Oryzias latipes: one gene and its partners. The protein of the gene in region 1 interacts with the protein of each later gene in a pairwise test. Links are inferred from orthologs where the notes say so. Each region holds a gene or a part of one and is shown in the gene's direction. Other genes may lie near its edges.

Region 1 (5,020 bases):
TGAGGTGATGAGACGCTTTAAATGTTCTAAAGGAAGACCGACTCCCAGCAGGACTTACCGTGGGGAACGTGGACCCTGGCGGGGAGAACATCTGAGGTGGGGGGCTGAAAGAGGTCGGAGCCTGCTGGGGTGTGTGAGGTGGGGGCAGGATCTCTGGAGCTGGAATGTAAGGACTGGCTCTGCTGCTGGACGCCGTGTGGCGGTACGGGTTGTGATGCTGCGGCTGCATCTGAGCAGGAGGCGGGGTCATCGTTGTAGGGGGAGGAGTCTGTCGTCCCAGCGGACTCTGGTAAACAGCACTGCCAAACGTTGAGGGAGGGGGGTTCATTTGTGAAGCTGTGGATGGCGGAGACATGGCGATGCTGCTGGGAAAAGAAACGGGTCCAGCAGCGGTTAAGGTCGAGGAGCGTCCTGCTGGCGGGCATGGTGACTGACCAATACTGGCAAAGGGGTCAGAGGTCGTTACGGGGTTGGAGAAGTAGCTGAAGGTGGAGGAGGCCGCCGGCGGACCGTTGGCCGAGGTCTGACCCAGGAAACTGTCTTCTTCTCCAACGTCAGTAGAGTCTTCTGATGGACACAAAGACGGGTCAACGTTTTCTGACACTGAAACTGCAGGTCAGGGTTTCTGTGAGGCTTCTCTAAACATCAAACTTCAGGAGTGAAGCTTCACCGCCGTCCACAACATTTCCAGCTTTCTCCATATGATTCTAAACTTTTATGAGCACCATGACATCCTGTGTGATCCTTTCCTAAGTGGAAACGATCAAACAGGATGTTATCGAGTGGTTTTCAGGCAATAAGCATGTTGACTTCACTAAAATACATGTATAATATATAAATAAAATAAATCTCTAAAAGACAGATTCCAGCATTTTAACAACAACATTGTTTTAAATCTGAACAAAGTTCATCCATTTACAACTCTTCACTAAAAATGTTTAAACTGACTCATTTTCTTTTAACAAAAGCAGATCCAGTGTTGCAGATAAAACGCGTCACTTTTTCATCTTTTCTCTCAATCTGAGGGTTTTTAAAGGCTGAAGCAGCACAGCTAGCTAACCGGCTAGCTTAGCTAGCTAGCTCTCGCCCTGACAACATTCGGACCTCCGTCCGCGGTTCCGCTCACCTCCTGACAGCACCGCCGGGCCCGACGCCTGACTCACCGGCATGAAAGGCAGGTTAAAGCTAAAGTCTGGAGCGGCACTAAAGAGTAAATTCGCGCTGCTGTCGGGACCACTGTTATTTTTTCTATCTGCCATTTTCAGCTGGATTTACACGTAGCCACAACCGGACCAGGCTGGCAGTAAATGCGAAAGAAACGTCTCCTGACGTCACAGTTTTCCCCGATCTCCAACACTCACGCGACACTAGATTTCAGTAAACATCTTAGCAGATGTTTTATAAATCTTCGAAACATACCCGATTGGCTTGACCCGAGGGGATCAATGTTTTTGGTGCTGCCATCTAGAGGCCCGGATGATGATTCAAACTCCTTTGGTTTTTTTTTTGCACCTTTTTTCTTCTTTTGTCAGAACAAAGTAAAATCTCGTGAGAGATAACAAATTTCTACTTAATTTGTAACGACTTCGGAATCCAAACCAGTTTTTAGGGCGGTGAACAAAAGCAAAAAGTTGCTTGTGGCTCCGCGCTCCGGTTTACTCCGGTTCTCGAATCAAACCAACCCCCTCTTGGTGCGCAGTGACGCAAATTTCGCGCCTCGCTTCTGCAATCCCGAGTGAGTGAAAAACTTATCGGAGAAGTGAAGCCGCGCGGGTTTTCCTCGCACGTTTGTCTTTGATTCCACGGGTTCAGTGGCCGGTTAGCGATGCTTTCCACGCAGGACTGGATTCACGCACCTCTCGGTGTTGTTGAAGAGAAGTTTGGTGAGAAACTTCCCTCCACAAACACTTAACGCCTCAGACTAGCTCGTTAGCCGCGCGCGCGTCCAGCCGCCCTCACATGGAGCTTTTTTTTTTTCCTTTACAAACTTTATTAAATGTAACATTTCAATACACAACAATGCAAAACAGCAACAAGAAAGGAATAAACCAGGTGGTTATTATTACATTTCACACAAAGACACTGAAACTGACGCACTGGTGCCGCTGCCCGCGGTGCATCAGTTTAAAACTTTATTGACACAGTCGGTGGACATAGACGAGAATCGGGCGCGCGGAAACCTTTACTGACTGTAGAAATGTCGTTCGGGGTTCGTCAACTTTTTGTTAGATCTAAAGACGTTTTTGTTTTGTCATACTGGTTCTTTTGAAGTGACTTCATATATACAGTCTCTGATGATGACGAATTCCTTCATGAAGAACGAAACCAACAATCTTGAAGTTCATTAAACATTTACTTTATTTCATTTTTAATGCCAATGTGTTTGTTATTTTAACATTTTTTTTAAACGATCGAATAAAATGACACATTCACACATGTTAATATAAAATGCAAACCGTAGTTTAAACCTTCAGCAGCATTCATTTGCTGCCGGAAATGACGTCTTCCTTTGATGCTGCAGCGGCTGCGCAGAAGGGTTCCTCCCCCGGGTGGGAGGCGGAGGTGGTGGAGTTTTTTAAGGAGCAGCTGAAGGAGAAGAGCGCTCAGAGTTTGGTGAGGAGAGTCCTGCAGACGGCGTCTTCACCGGCCGTCCGGTTCTGACCTTGTCCTTTTCTGGACCAGGTTCCGTCTCTCAACGACGTTCCCCTGCATTACCTGAAGCCCAACAGTTTGGTGAAGTTTCGCTGCTTCATCCAGGACATGTTTGACCCGGAGTTCTACATGGGAGTGTATGAGACTGTGGACGGACCCACGGATGCTAAAGTGAGTGTGCCCCCCCCCCCCCCCCCACATCTCTAGCATCAGCTGACCCCCCTCCCCCTCATTTGTCCTGTTTGACCCCCAGATGCTGCACTGTGGGAAGTACAGGGATGTGGCAGAATGTGGGGTGAGTCTGCATCCTGCTGCTGTCCTCAAAGGTGGTGCAGCCGCTTCAGCTCAGCTGTTGGTTTGAATCCCAGGTGGACTTTAACTCCAAGAACACCGTGACGGCAGAGCGGCAGACCTTCTACTGTGTGCCCATTCCTGGGGAGAACCTGTGGGTGAAGGACATATCCTGGGATCAGGGATCAGGTTCTCTGATGACAGTGTGAACAGTTGTGTGTTGTTCCTTAACCTGAGAGCACGGATATGCGGGCAGCAGCCAGGCGCGCGTGGTGGCGTCCACCTCCTACGTGCCGAGCAGGCAGAAACGCAGCTACGAGGAGGACGAGGACATGGACACGCAGCCGCAGAAGCAAGCTCACGCAGGTGTTTGTCTTCGCCGTCTGCTGGGTGTCGAACCTTAGGCGTCCTCCCCCCTCAAACGTTCTCCAAATATTTCTGCAGGTCTTCAGGGTCCAACGGACCTGCAGAGCAACGCCGACTGTAAGCGTCAAGAGACGGAGGCTCCTCCCACCCAGGCGGCGTCCGCATCCCACCTCGACCTCAACTTCCCCCTCCCAGGAGAGAGGGGCCCCGCCTGCCTGGTGAAGGTTGGAGCTGGACGAGCGCGTTGGTGGCTCCGGTGGGAACCCTGATCCTCAGGCTGTGCTCGTTGGCAGGTGTACGAAGACTGGGAGAGCTTCAAGCTGAACGACGCCCTGGAGGTTTTCGGGATCCTGTCCGTCAGTCCCGCTCTCAGCGCCCTGGCGGAGGAGAGGTGAGGCCCTCGCTTCGTAGCCCCGCCCCCTGTCTGCGTGCTGCCCGTCTCACCGCCTTTCTTCCTCGCAGAGACGCCTCCTCGTCCTTCCTGGACCCCACGGAGGGCATGGAGACGGCGGAGGAGCAGCGTGTGCACAGCCCGCCGGCCTCGCTCGTTCCCCGGCTTCACGTGCTCCACGCCAAACCGCTGCAACACAACAACCCGCTGCTGCCGCACGCAACCTCGGACGACAACGGCGCCTGTAAGGACGCGTGTTTTTGTAGAAACAGAAATGATTCCAGACTAGAAGAAAACGCCGAAACACCAAAACCAGTAAATTCTGTCGCTTCCGTGGAAATTCATCAGCATCACGCAGGAACTCAAGACGTTTGACCTGGAGGACATCTGCCCCCCCCCCTGCTCCACCCTCCTTACACGTCTGCCCCCCCCTTCTCCACCCTCCTTACACGTCTCCCCCCCCCCGCTCCACCTCTTACACATCTGCCCCCCCTGCTCCACCCTCCTTACACGTCTGCCCCCCCCCCTGCTCCACCCTCCTTACACGTCTGCCCCCCCTGCTCCACCCTCCTTACACGTCTGCCCCCACCTGCTCCACCCTCCTTACACATCTGCCCCCCCTGCTCCACCCTCCTTACACGTCTGCCCCCCCCCTCCACCTCTTACACATCTGCCCCCCTTGCTCCACCTCCTTACACGTCTGCCCCCCCCCGCTCCACCCTCCTTACACGTCTGCCCCCCCCGCTCCACCTCTTACACGTCTGCCCCCTCCTCTCCACCCTCCTTACACGTCTGCCCCCCCTCCTCCACCTCTATACATCTGCCCCCCCTGCTCCACCTCTATACATCTGCCCCCCCGCTCCACCTCTTACACATCTGCCCCCCCGCTCCACCTCTTACACGTCTGCCCCCCACCTGCTCCACCCTCCTTACACATCTGCCCCCCTGCTCCACCCTCCTTACACGTCTGTCCCCCCCCGCTCCACCTCTTACACATCTGCCCCCCCTGCTCCACCCTCCTTACACGTCTGCCCCCCCTCCACCTCTTACACGTCTGCCCCCCCTTCTCCACCCTCCTTAACGTCTGCCCCCCCGCTCCACCTCTTACACGTCTGCCCCCCACCGCTCCACCTCCTTACACATCTGCCCCCCCCGCTCCACCCTCCTTACACGTCTGTCCCCCCCGCTCCACCTCTTACACATCTGCCCCCCCTTGCTCCACCCTCCTTACACGTCTGCCCCCCCCCCCGCTCCACCCTCCTTACACGTCTGCCCCCCCCCGCTCCACCTCTTACACGTCTGCCCCCTCCTTCTCCACCC
Region 2 (5,078 bases), on another chromosome or scaffold:
CTACAAGAAGGATGACGCGAGGCAAGCGAAGTCTCAGGACAAAGATTGTGCCAATGAAGAGAAGTCTGTCTGGACAATGGACTTGCAAGCTCCTGTGTCCACTGGCGCTCCATTTATGCTTTCCCTGCCAGCATCTTACACCCTGCAGTTATGTGCTGGATTGTTTCAGGTGCCTCTTTTCACAGCCTACACCTTGGGACTTGTCTGGTTTGGTAGATCTCAGCCTCTATTGCTCTGGTGCTCAGGGCTTGTTCCTGGGCTGCCAGGATGAGTGCTTCAGTGCTGTCCTATAGGCCAGCCCTTTCTAGCCATTGGTAGGACTTCTAGATATCAGCCACTTCAGTTATGGTCCGGTGGTACATCCCATGCAGGGGTTTGTCCTCCCAGGAGAATCTGTCCTCCAGCACTGTATCCTCTGCTCTCCATTGCCTGAGACATTCACTGAGCACACTGTCAGTTGGGGCCTTGAGCTTGATGTACTCATGCATCTTGGATGTTTCATCCTGGATATTGGCTTCTACACTCACTAGTCTTCGGCCTCCTCGGCTAGCATACAGTCACAGGGTGCTGGATTTGGGATGGAACCCTCCAAGCATGGTGAGGAGCTTTCGTGATTTAACATCCGTGGTCTGTATCTCTTCCTTTGGCCATCTTATTATTCCTGCAGGTAATAATATACAGGAACATGTGTGCAGAATATGAACTGGAAACCCCAAGGTCAAAATGGGAAACACCTCCGAAGGTGGTAGAGAATGAGAGGGCAAAGATCCTGTGGGACTTCCAGGTCCAGACTGATAGGATGGTAACGGCGAACCAACCAGACATTGTAGTGGTGGATAAAGAACAGAGGAAAGCCGTTGGGGTGGATGTGGCAGTACCAAGCGATGGGAACATCAGGAAGAAGGAACCTGAGAAACTGGAGAAATACCAGGGACTCAGAGAAGAACTGGAGAAAGCATGGAAAGTGAAGGTGACAGTGGTGCCTGTAGTAATTGGAGCACTCGGGGCAGTAACCCCCAAGCTGGAGGAGTAGCTACAACAGATACCTGGAAAGACCTCAGACCTCTCAGTCCAGAAAAGCACAGTGCTAGGAACAGCTAAGATACTGCAGGACCCTCAAGCTCCCAGGCCTCTGGCAGAGGACCCGAGCTTGGAGGATAAACCACCCGCGGAGGGTGAGAAGGGCGTTTTTTTTTATATAGATGTCAACCTTCACCAATATTTAGATTTTACTGTCAAAGATGTTATTTGTCTAATCCATTAAAAAACAAAGTATTTGGAGTTTGAAGAAGTCTGTCTAAACACTGTATGAAAAATGAGCTGAGGTTTGGTAAATGTGTTCATTTTTAATTCAAATCTATTTTAATAAAAACTAAATCTTTAAAAAAATAAAGTATATGACATGTATTCAAGAAAAGGATTTTACTTATCAATAACCAAATAAAAAACTGATGCAAACTGATAATAGAAGACGACAATAGTCAAGCAACAACAACGATAATAATAATAATAATAATAATAATAATAATAATAATAATAATAATAATAATAATAATAATAATAATTTTAAGAAAATTTATTTTGGTTAAACCGGAAACACATGCCCTGATTTGTGACGACATTCTGCATAGCAACAGAGGAAGATTTACGTGTCCTCGACTCGAGGCGCTCCTCAAAGAGACGCTTGTAGCCTCAGTTAACCCTGGTTGTTCGCACTGCTGACGCTACAGTTTTGACTGTTTACTTTCCTCTACAACAGGACACCTGCCGATTTATAAAATGTCCAATAGTGAGGTAGGTGCAATTGAAAACGTTATATCTTCCTTTTTTATTTTACATTTCCCGTATGTTCATTGCTGTTTAACCAGCAGCTCAGCTGTTTGCTAACATAACAAACGATCAACCTGGTTCTCCTTTGCCGAAATCCGTTTCTGTGGCTAAGAATTAACCGCCTAAAGTAACATGAACGGGTTTAGTGTGCAGTCATTGTGTTAATTTGTCGCGTTTGTCTTGAAGGGAAACAAACTTTGGGGAGGCCGTTTCGTTGGAGACACGGACCCAATCATGGAGAAGTTCAACGCTTCCATCGGTTACGATCAGAGGATGTGGGACGCAGATATCAGAGGAAGCAAAGCTTATGTCAAAGCGCTGGAAAAAGCGCAGCTGGTCAGCAGTGAGGAAAAGGAGCAGATCTTACGTGGGATGGATCAGGTGAAGTAGTCTGTTGTTGTTGCTGCTGGCTCCATCACTGAATCAACCGGTCCTGAGGATTCATTCATTCATTCATTCAGTTGTGGTTGTAGTGCAGCGTTATTCTCTCTCTTTGAGCCAGACAGGGCACTTTTTCCTTGATAAAAATCACAAGGCACATTACCAATTAAATATGTAAAAATGAAATAAAATCAAAGTTATGTTTTGTCAAAGCGTCTTGAATAAGAATCAAATAAACAGAAATAAATCAGTCTTTTTTTATATCCACCTACTCGGTGTGAAAACAGGACCTATTTGGATGACATTCTGGCAATTTCTTTAGTTTACTAACAATTAACCGATTTGTCATTTTATCCAGCCAGATTGATCTATCTTAATTAACTTATTAATCAAATCGACTTTACGTTAAAAATAATTTCGAAATGAAATAAACAGATTTTTAATCGATCTTGGAGAGTAACATTTGGACTGAGGCGTGGTAGGTTTATTTTTACTTTAAGGTAAAATGACTGTCATTACACTGGTCAACACATCAAAAAATGATCAAGCTATCATTCCAGTCCAATGTGTGAAAACAGTGAGACATGTGAGACATGTGACCATACAGTGTGGTATCATGACTTTATCATGTGGAAAAACAACAGTGACTTTGTGAAACTAAAATGTGAATTGATTAATGTGTTTATCTGTCTGTTAGTTCACATATTTAATTTAGACTTGATTATCTTGTAAGAAATTCACTAAATCTGGAAATCTTCACCTGCACTGTTCAGTACCCAGTTATTTCTCAGAGTCCCACTGGTTGAATCTTTGGCTAAAGACGTCCCTAGATTGATTTTAGGTCAGTGAATTGGATTGTTCAAAATGAACCGATATTAACTATGAATCGTATCGTCAATTGCACATTATGATATGAATTAAATAGTTGTTAAAATGAATTGTTATTTCCCTGTGTTTGTCACATTTATTACTCAAATGAGGTGCATTAGTGCATCGCTGCATACTCTGGTGGTTAGGCAATGACAGCTGTCAAAATGCCGTGGTGTAGCATTCCTGCATTCTGCTGAGTGTCGTTATGACAGCAGCACCTTCAGATTCAACCAGGGCAGGTTTCAACATGTCCTCTCCAGCCTACTGTTCTGTTTTACAAGTCAGCAGTTCAGTACACTGTTTCCCTTCAACTTTTAAACACAAACATTTGTTTTTTCCAGGCTTTGTGTTAAAACCATCTCTCACGGCTCACAGGTTGAAAAACACTGGTTTAGTGCATCACTGCATACTCTCAGGTGGTTAGGAGATGACCGCAGTAAAAAATGCCCTGTTGTAGCATTCCTGCATTCTGCTGGGTGTGTTGTGGACAATACTGTCATCATGTGACAGCTGCAGCTTCAGTTTTATTCAGGGCAGGTTTGAACATGTCATCTCCATCCTACTGTTCTGTTTGGACAAGTGAACAGTTCCATAGACTGTTTCCCTTCAAACCCAAACATTTGTTTTTTGATTACAGGCTTTGTGTTAAAGTCCACTTAAAGTGACCATCTTTGATGTTTCCCCCCCCCCCTGCAGATTTCAGAGGAGTGGTCTAAAGGTAACTTTGTCATTAGACCTGGAGATGAAGACATTCACACTGCCAATGAACGCCGGTTGAAGGTGATGTGCAGCTGTCCATTGCATACATCCTGTTCACACACATCTGCCATTGAGCTTTTACACAGCCTGCTGTGAGTTACTCCACTAATGTCTAAGCGAAAGTCTGGATGTTTGTTAAACTAAAAACCCATGTTTTCAATGTAAACGTTACTTTATGACGTTTGCTTTATGAAATGTGTACAATATTAATTATGCTGTTGCCCTTTTTTTTCAGGAGCTCATTGGTGCCCCTGCAGGAAAACTTCACACAGGCAGAAGCAGAAATGATCAGGTTTTATTTTAGTTTATTCATGTTTTTATTGTACCTTTTAGGTTTGTTTAGCATATAAATTCATAGAAAAGCTTTAGAGTTGCACTTTGTGTTCTGGTGGACCAGGTGGTGACTGATATGAGACTCTGGATGCGAGACGCCATCACCACCCTGACAGAAAATTCTCTCCAGCTCATCTCGACCATGGTGGAGCGGGCATCCGTGTAACTAAGACCGACTCGCAAATGGAAACTCATCTTCTGTATATTATTACTGAAACTGTTGGTGTTAACCTGCATTTCCTGGTTCCATCACAGGGAAATCGAGGTTCTTTTCCCCGGATACACCCACATGCAGAGGGCTCAACCAATCCGATGGAGCCACTGGATTCTAAGGTGACTCTGAAGTCTACATCTACACGCCCTTTTTTTTAAAACTATTTTAATTAATTAAATTCTTTGGTACGTGTTTCCACAGTCATTCTGTCGCTCTGAGCAGAGATGTGGACCGGTTACTGGAGATCAAGAAAAGAGTTAATGTCTTACCTCTGGGCAGGCACGCTGTGAACGCGATTTCTGACAGCAGTTTTGATCCGCTGACATACTCAAGTAACAAAAAAAACTATTTCTTTTTCTTTCAGTGGTGCGATTGCAGGGACGCCGCTTGACATTGACAGGGAGCTTCTTCGGAAAGGTCAAGGCTGCTGTGTTTTTTATGTTTAATTGCTGCTTATTTCTTTAGAACTAATGAGAAGAAATACAAAATGTTCTTGTTTTTTAAATTGCAGAGCTGGGATTTGATGCAATCAGTCTGAACAGCATGGACGCCACAGGCCAGAGAGACTTTGTTGGTATACAAATGATCCTTATTAGTCAGTTGTTAATATGTGGAATAAAAATACTACAAGTATTTCACACTAAAAGTATCATTGAGTTTAAAGTTGTGTTTTTTCCTTGTTTTAGTGGAG
Region 3 (5,255 bases), on another chromosome or scaffold:
CAAAAAAAAAAAAAAATGGGAAAGAAAAGAAAAAGAATTTGTCTTTTTTTCCTCCCACTAGATGGTGATGTTAACCCAAAGATGTGAGTTTGTTAGAGACAATTTGGAGATCTAGGTGGGCAGAATTTCCTTCTGGGGGACAAAACGACCTAAATCACGCCAAGCAAATCTGAAAGTTAAAAAGCAACTTAATATTAATGATTTTTACTAATTAAATGCAGCCTGTGATGTTTTGATTTACTGCTCCCAGAAGCACTCAAAAAAAATAGTTTTTTAGTGAGTCTTTTGGTGTTCTGGCTTTGCAAAGAACACCATCACATTGCACAGTGTGATGCAACAGCTAATGTTAATTAATATCAAGTCAGTAACATCAGCTGCATTTTACCATCTGAAAAACATTGCCAAAATCAAAAAGATAATGTCAAAGCCAGAACTGGAGATACTTGTTCATGCATTTGTCTCCAGTAGGTTAAACTACTGTGACGGCCTGCTCACCGGCCTCTCCAAACGAGCTGTAAAACAGCTTCAGTACATCCAGAATGCTGCTGCTCGAGTCCTGACATCTCTGACATGTTAGTGCCATATGAACCATCTCGTACTCTGAGGACCTCAGGGACCGGCCTCCTGTTGATTCCCAGAGTCAGAACTAAACAAGGGGAATCAGCGTTTCAATATTCTGCAGCTAAAATCTGGAACAGCCTCCCTGAAGTCGTAAGACAGGCCTCTTCTGTGTTCATGTTCAAATCTAGACTTAAAACATTTCTGTTTAGCCGTGTATATGACTGAAAGGTCCTATCTGCACTTTTCTTTCATTTCCTTCCTCTCTTTTTAAATCAATTTTCTATTTTTTTTTCTTTTCTTTTAAAGTAAATTTTACGTTGATGATTTCTATGATGTATTGTGATATTAATGTATTTTTCTGTTTTGTGAATCACCTTGAATTACTTTGGGTATGAATTGTGCTATACAAATAAACTTGCCTTGCCTTGTCTGAAGAAATACACAATTATTTTTACTTAAGGAGCCAGATTTGAATTAATTTTTAAGATTTATTTAGATCTAGGCAATAAAGCATAAATGTACTATTTTACATCTTCTGTACAACGGGAACATTTTTGTATAGTCCTTCTTTTTACATGCTGATGTAAATATTTTTAGTTTACATACAAGTGTAAATCCTACTAAAAAGTAAAAAGAAGGGACAACATATATAAATATAAATATATAAATATATATATATATATATATATATATTTTTTCTGAAGGTCACTATCCTCTGTGAACACCACCTTTTTTTGGTTGTTTGAATTCCTGAATGTCTTTTTTTTGCTGCTGAAGATAAGAGAATTTCCCCATTGTGGGATGAGTAAAGTCTATCTATCTATATTGAATCTATATAGATAGATAGATAGAATTTTATATTCAAAATTTCCAATATTAGGGAAGAATTTTGAAGACTTATGTCAAATTAAGAGCATCAAACCTGCTCAAAGATGATTCTATAGTTGTATTTGTTTAAAAACAACAGATTCTTTTACGTGTTTAAATTAATATTAAATACTAAAAAATTAAGAAGCAGATTGAAAAAAAACTGTTTGCAGACATGATGAAAACAATGTTAACATGGCATTCAAATAATAATAACAGGGGCACATTTTAAAAATTAGGTGATAAGAATTTAGTGCAGTAACTGTTTGTTTTTGGGGTCTTTTAAGAAAGAAATGTTTTTATTGTGTTAAGATAAGAAAGCGTGTTCTCTTGACTCGGCCGCTCCATTCTGAGGAATTGTGGTGTCACAGCGCCCCTGGTGGCCGCATGTGACACTGCAGAGGGGCAGGGACTCCCGGATGGTTTCACAATAGTGCTCCACATTCCCCCGCGCAGATCCTCCTCCCGACCAGGTCAAACCCCTCCGCACAGACTCGCAGCACTTTGGTTGAAACGAGAGCGGGTTTTTTTTCTTCTTCTTCAAAATGGCTGAAGTTTCTGTCCGGGCCGAGAGCAAAAGCGAGGGCATTGTGGTAATTTAACGAGAGGAAACGAAGAAGTGAATGAACGCGTTTGCGCAGTTTTGCAGGGGGTGGCGCCACGTGTAGACTGTAGAAGTTTGCACCTTTAAAAAACTAAAAATACAGTAAACTTGCAAAGATGCAGACTGAAGATCTAATGCTTTCTGCTGCGTTTCCTCTCAGATTCACGACGACTGGCCAGGTTACAGCCTGGACCTCTTCAGCTACCCAGCGCACTACTACGGAGACTTGGACTGCGTCATCATTCCGCATGGCGTCATCATGGATAGGTACAAAACTCTGGAGGCCTGTCAGATGACCTCCCAGATGTTTGGCCTTCTGTGAGGTTACATCATAGCTCCATGTGTCTTCCAAAGATTTTATAGGATGCCATCTAATTCCTGTGTAGTAAAATGCACCAAAAGTAAAGTTTGTTTTATGTAGATCACCTTTACAATAATCCTTAAACTGTTGTAGATTTTCTTTTTCCATAGGGCAGCATTTAAAATGAACATGCATGTGTGGGATGGCACTGCCAGACAAGTTTTCACATATGATTTGAAGGGAACAGCCCTGCTCCTCATTCCACACATGCATGTTCCTAATGTGACACCAATTCCAAAAGAAATAAACTGTTTTTCCAACAGTTTAAACAACCACTCCAAAAAAAAAAAAAAGTGTTTTTAACATGTTCAACAGCATTTTTCTCCTGACGGAAGATGTAAGCTTAAAATTGCATTTCTGAGTATTTCTTTATTCAAATCATTGTGTATCAGGAGCAAACAAAAATGCAGTTGTAAAAAGCTTGTAGGTGTGACGTAGGGCCTATGACAGCAAGCCACAAGCTCACATACTTCTGCTCCATTCTAAAGCATCCACTTGAAGACAAATAGATCCATGCACGTCTTTGTTCTCCTTGTCTGAGCTGGAATCTGGTACAAAAACTGCACGGCTGCAATAGTGCTCTGCATTTCTGTTGGACTGAAAATGTTAGGATGGGGTTGTGAGGGGCTGTAAGCCAGTGGGAGAGAGTGTAAACAAAAGGGATGGTGGGAAAAGGGTAGGCCTGCTTTGTGCCAGTGGTCACTCAGAAGTAAACTTCACATGAACTACTGCTGCTCTGCAGAAACTATGTCCTAGATAACAAAAGACGTTTTTTTTTATTTATGATTTTAAAAAAAACAAGGGAACACTTTGAAAATAGATCAAAAGGGGATCAGAGGGGAACTTTAACGTTTTTAGGCTTTTAAAACAAAGAAATCTGTTAAAAGTAAAAGCTTACTCACTTTGTTTAGAAATAACCTGCTAGAATTCAGGATTGGGAAAGAAAAGTAAACCTTAAAGGTAGAGGAAGTTATTAAAAAAATCCTAATTACATTAGTTTACAATTTCTAAAATAAAAACTGCTATTAAAAAGTAGTTTTAGTTTAGATTCCTCACTTTTCACCACTCCATCCTCATTTTAGCTATAAACCTTTGCAAAAGGTAAAAAAAAAACGTACACTTGAGGTCTATTTTATGAAGTATACTTGTGTATAAGTATATCAAGTATAATGTTGAGTGTGTAGAAAGTATACTAACTGAATACTTTACAGACTAAATTTGAAAATTTTAATCACACAATAATTAAAATATATAAGTACCACTTTTAGAATAGACTACTTGTATTAGACTTAAAAATACTATTTTTTGTTAACAGAAATTACAATCTACCAAATATCTTTAACTTATTTGTGTGACAAATGAAATACTATAGAAATCAAAGTATGTCAAACAAAATTCAAGAGATGCTAATGTTTAATTTGTCTGCCATGCACAAACCTAATCTTAACTGCTACAGATGAGGTTTTTTTTTTCAAACGTGTCACATTTTGTAAAAAACACTTTGCAATAATGAGGAAATGTACAACAAAACAAGTAAATTTATTACTATTAGGAACTTTAGTGAAACTCTTTATTAATGGAATCATTATGTCTCCATTATGTCTTCTTAAACAATAAAATATCTAAAGAGGAAATGGTTATGAAACAAAATGGTCTCAGTTCCTAAAAATGGATTGGATTATTTTTCCCCTCTCACAATCTGTCTTCCCATAGATTTCTTTGTTCTGCCTGCATAAACCTAATTACATAAACTCTTGTGATGTACACTACTTCATAAAGTGCAAAAATGTGTTAAAAAAATAGATTTTTTTTTCCTGGCGCTCATGAAAAAATACAAAAGAAATTGGAATTTGAAAAACAAAAAACCTTTTTAAAAGGCTCTAAAGCCATTTGATGTCACATTTTTATGAAATAACCTGGACAGCTTTGGGAACTCCTGCTGCAGAGCCTCTTTGTTGTGTCGTTTCAAGGACGGAGCGCCTGGCTCGGAACATCATGGATGACCTGGGCGACCATGACATTGTGGTTCTGTGCGTGCTGAAAGGAGGTTACCAGTTCTGCGCCGACCTGGTGGACAGGATCAAAGCTCTCAGCTGCAACTCCGACCACACAATTCCCATGAGAGTTCACTTCATCCGCCTGAAGAGTTACCTGGTGAGCTTTCATCCTGCTGCAGGGCAGGAAGTGATGATGTTGACATCCAATGATCATGGGTTAAAAATGTGTGGGAGTGGCCTGCCGCTTTTCACGCATGTGGTTATCATCCATGGTGACTGTGAATCCCATGACCTAGCCAGATGACTGTAGTGTTATAGATACTACAGGGATATTTTTATACATTTTGACCTTGAATGAGTTGTTTTCCTGTGGTGGAGGAAACAGTATTACATAAGATTTTAGATGTAACATTTTTTTAAGTATACAAAGGCATTTGTTGTCTTTTTCTTTTTATCTTGCTGATGGTATTGCAACACTTCCTGAAATAAACATGTTTTTCTTCCCAGAATGACCAGTCAACTGAAGATCTTCACATTCTCGGAGCAGAAGATCTGTCTTTTTTATCTGGGAAGGTATTTTTTTCTATATATAAATCTAAAGATATATAACTTTTGTTTGAAGCAGACTGCCATGAGCTCCACAGTAACACATAGCCAGAGATCCCGGCTGTGTATGAGCTGACACTTCCGCCTCTAGAGGGCAGTCTTCTCTACAATCTGCCACGTCCTCTAACCTGTAGAAAAAAGCTAATTTCAGAGGCTGCTCTAACAGCAGTACCCGCTTACCATCTGCACTAATGGCATTATTTATAGCTTCATTCCAGTTTATCAGTCAGTGGATGGCGGATGAAGCGGGCCACAGCAG

Evidence for each region.
Region 2: the proteins of mcmbp (region 1) and asl interact in binary tests that used the Homo sapiens proteins (3 or more experiments, as listed by UniProt). The two-hybrid records come from large-scale screens. The link is inferred for Oryzias latipes from reciprocal best matches to the Homo sapiens genes MCMBP and ASL.
Region 3: the proteins of mcmbp (region 1) and phosphoribosyltransferase domain-containing protein 1 interact in binary tests that used the Homo sapiens proteins (3 or more experiments, as listed by UniProt). The two-hybrid records come from large-scale screens. The link is inferred for Oryzias latipes from reciprocal best matches to the Homo sapiens genes MCMBP and PRTFDC1.

What each region holds. Positions count from the first base shown.
Region 1 is NC_019873.2:29,884,014-29,889,033, reverse strand, and holds the start of mcmbp (mini-chromosome maintenance complex-binding protein), read left to right. Parts: upstream 1-1,672; 5' UTR 1,673-1,825; coding exon 1,826-1,883; intron 1,884-2,521; coding exon 2,522-2,613; intron 2,614-2,682; coding exon 2,683-2,823; intron 2,824-2,905; coding exon 2,906-2,947; intron 2,948-3,020; coding exon 3,021-3,110; intron 3,111-3,185; coding exon 3,186-3,309; intron 3,310-3,387; coding exon 3,388-3,533; intron 3,534-3,602; coding exon 3,603-3,700; intron 3,701-3,771; coding exon 3,772-3,944; intron 3,945-5,020. Other genes in the region: sec23ip (SEC23-interacting protein), read right to left, coding at 59-567, 1,127-1,259. UniProt on the Homo sapiens protein: Associated component of the MCM complex that acts as a regulator of DNA replication.
Region 2 is NC_019872.2:8,458,018-8,463,095, forward strand, and holds the start of asl (argininosuccinate lyase), read left to right. Parts: upstream 1-1,636; 5' UTR 1,637-1,779; coding exon 1,780-1,794; intron 1,795-2,016; coding exon 2,017-2,211; intron 2,212-3,777; coding exon 3,778-3,861; intron 3,862-4,075; coding exon 4,076-4,132; intron 4,133-4,237; coding exon 4,238-4,335; intron 4,336-4,428; coding exon 4,429-4,506; intron 4,507-4,588; coding exon 4,589-4,666; intron 4,667-4,751; coding exon 4,752-4,804; intron 4,805-4,898; coding exon 4,899-4,961; intron 4,962-5,073; coding exon 5,074-5,078.
Region 3 is NC_019875.2:25,189,013-25,194,267, forward strand, and holds the start of phosphoribosyltransferase domain-containing protein 1, read left to right. Parts: upstream 1-1,813; 5' UTR 1,814-1,973; coding exon 1,974-2,021; intron 2,022-2,192; coding exon 2,193-2,299; intron 2,300-4,363; coding exon 4,364-4,547; intron 4,548-4,897; coding exon 4,898-4,963; intron 4,964-5,255. UniProt on the Homo sapiens protein: Has low, barely detectable phosphoribosyltransferase activity (in vitro). Binds GMP, IMP and alpha-D-5-phosphoribosyl 1-pyrophosphate (PRPP). Is not expected to contribute to purine metabolism or GMP salvage.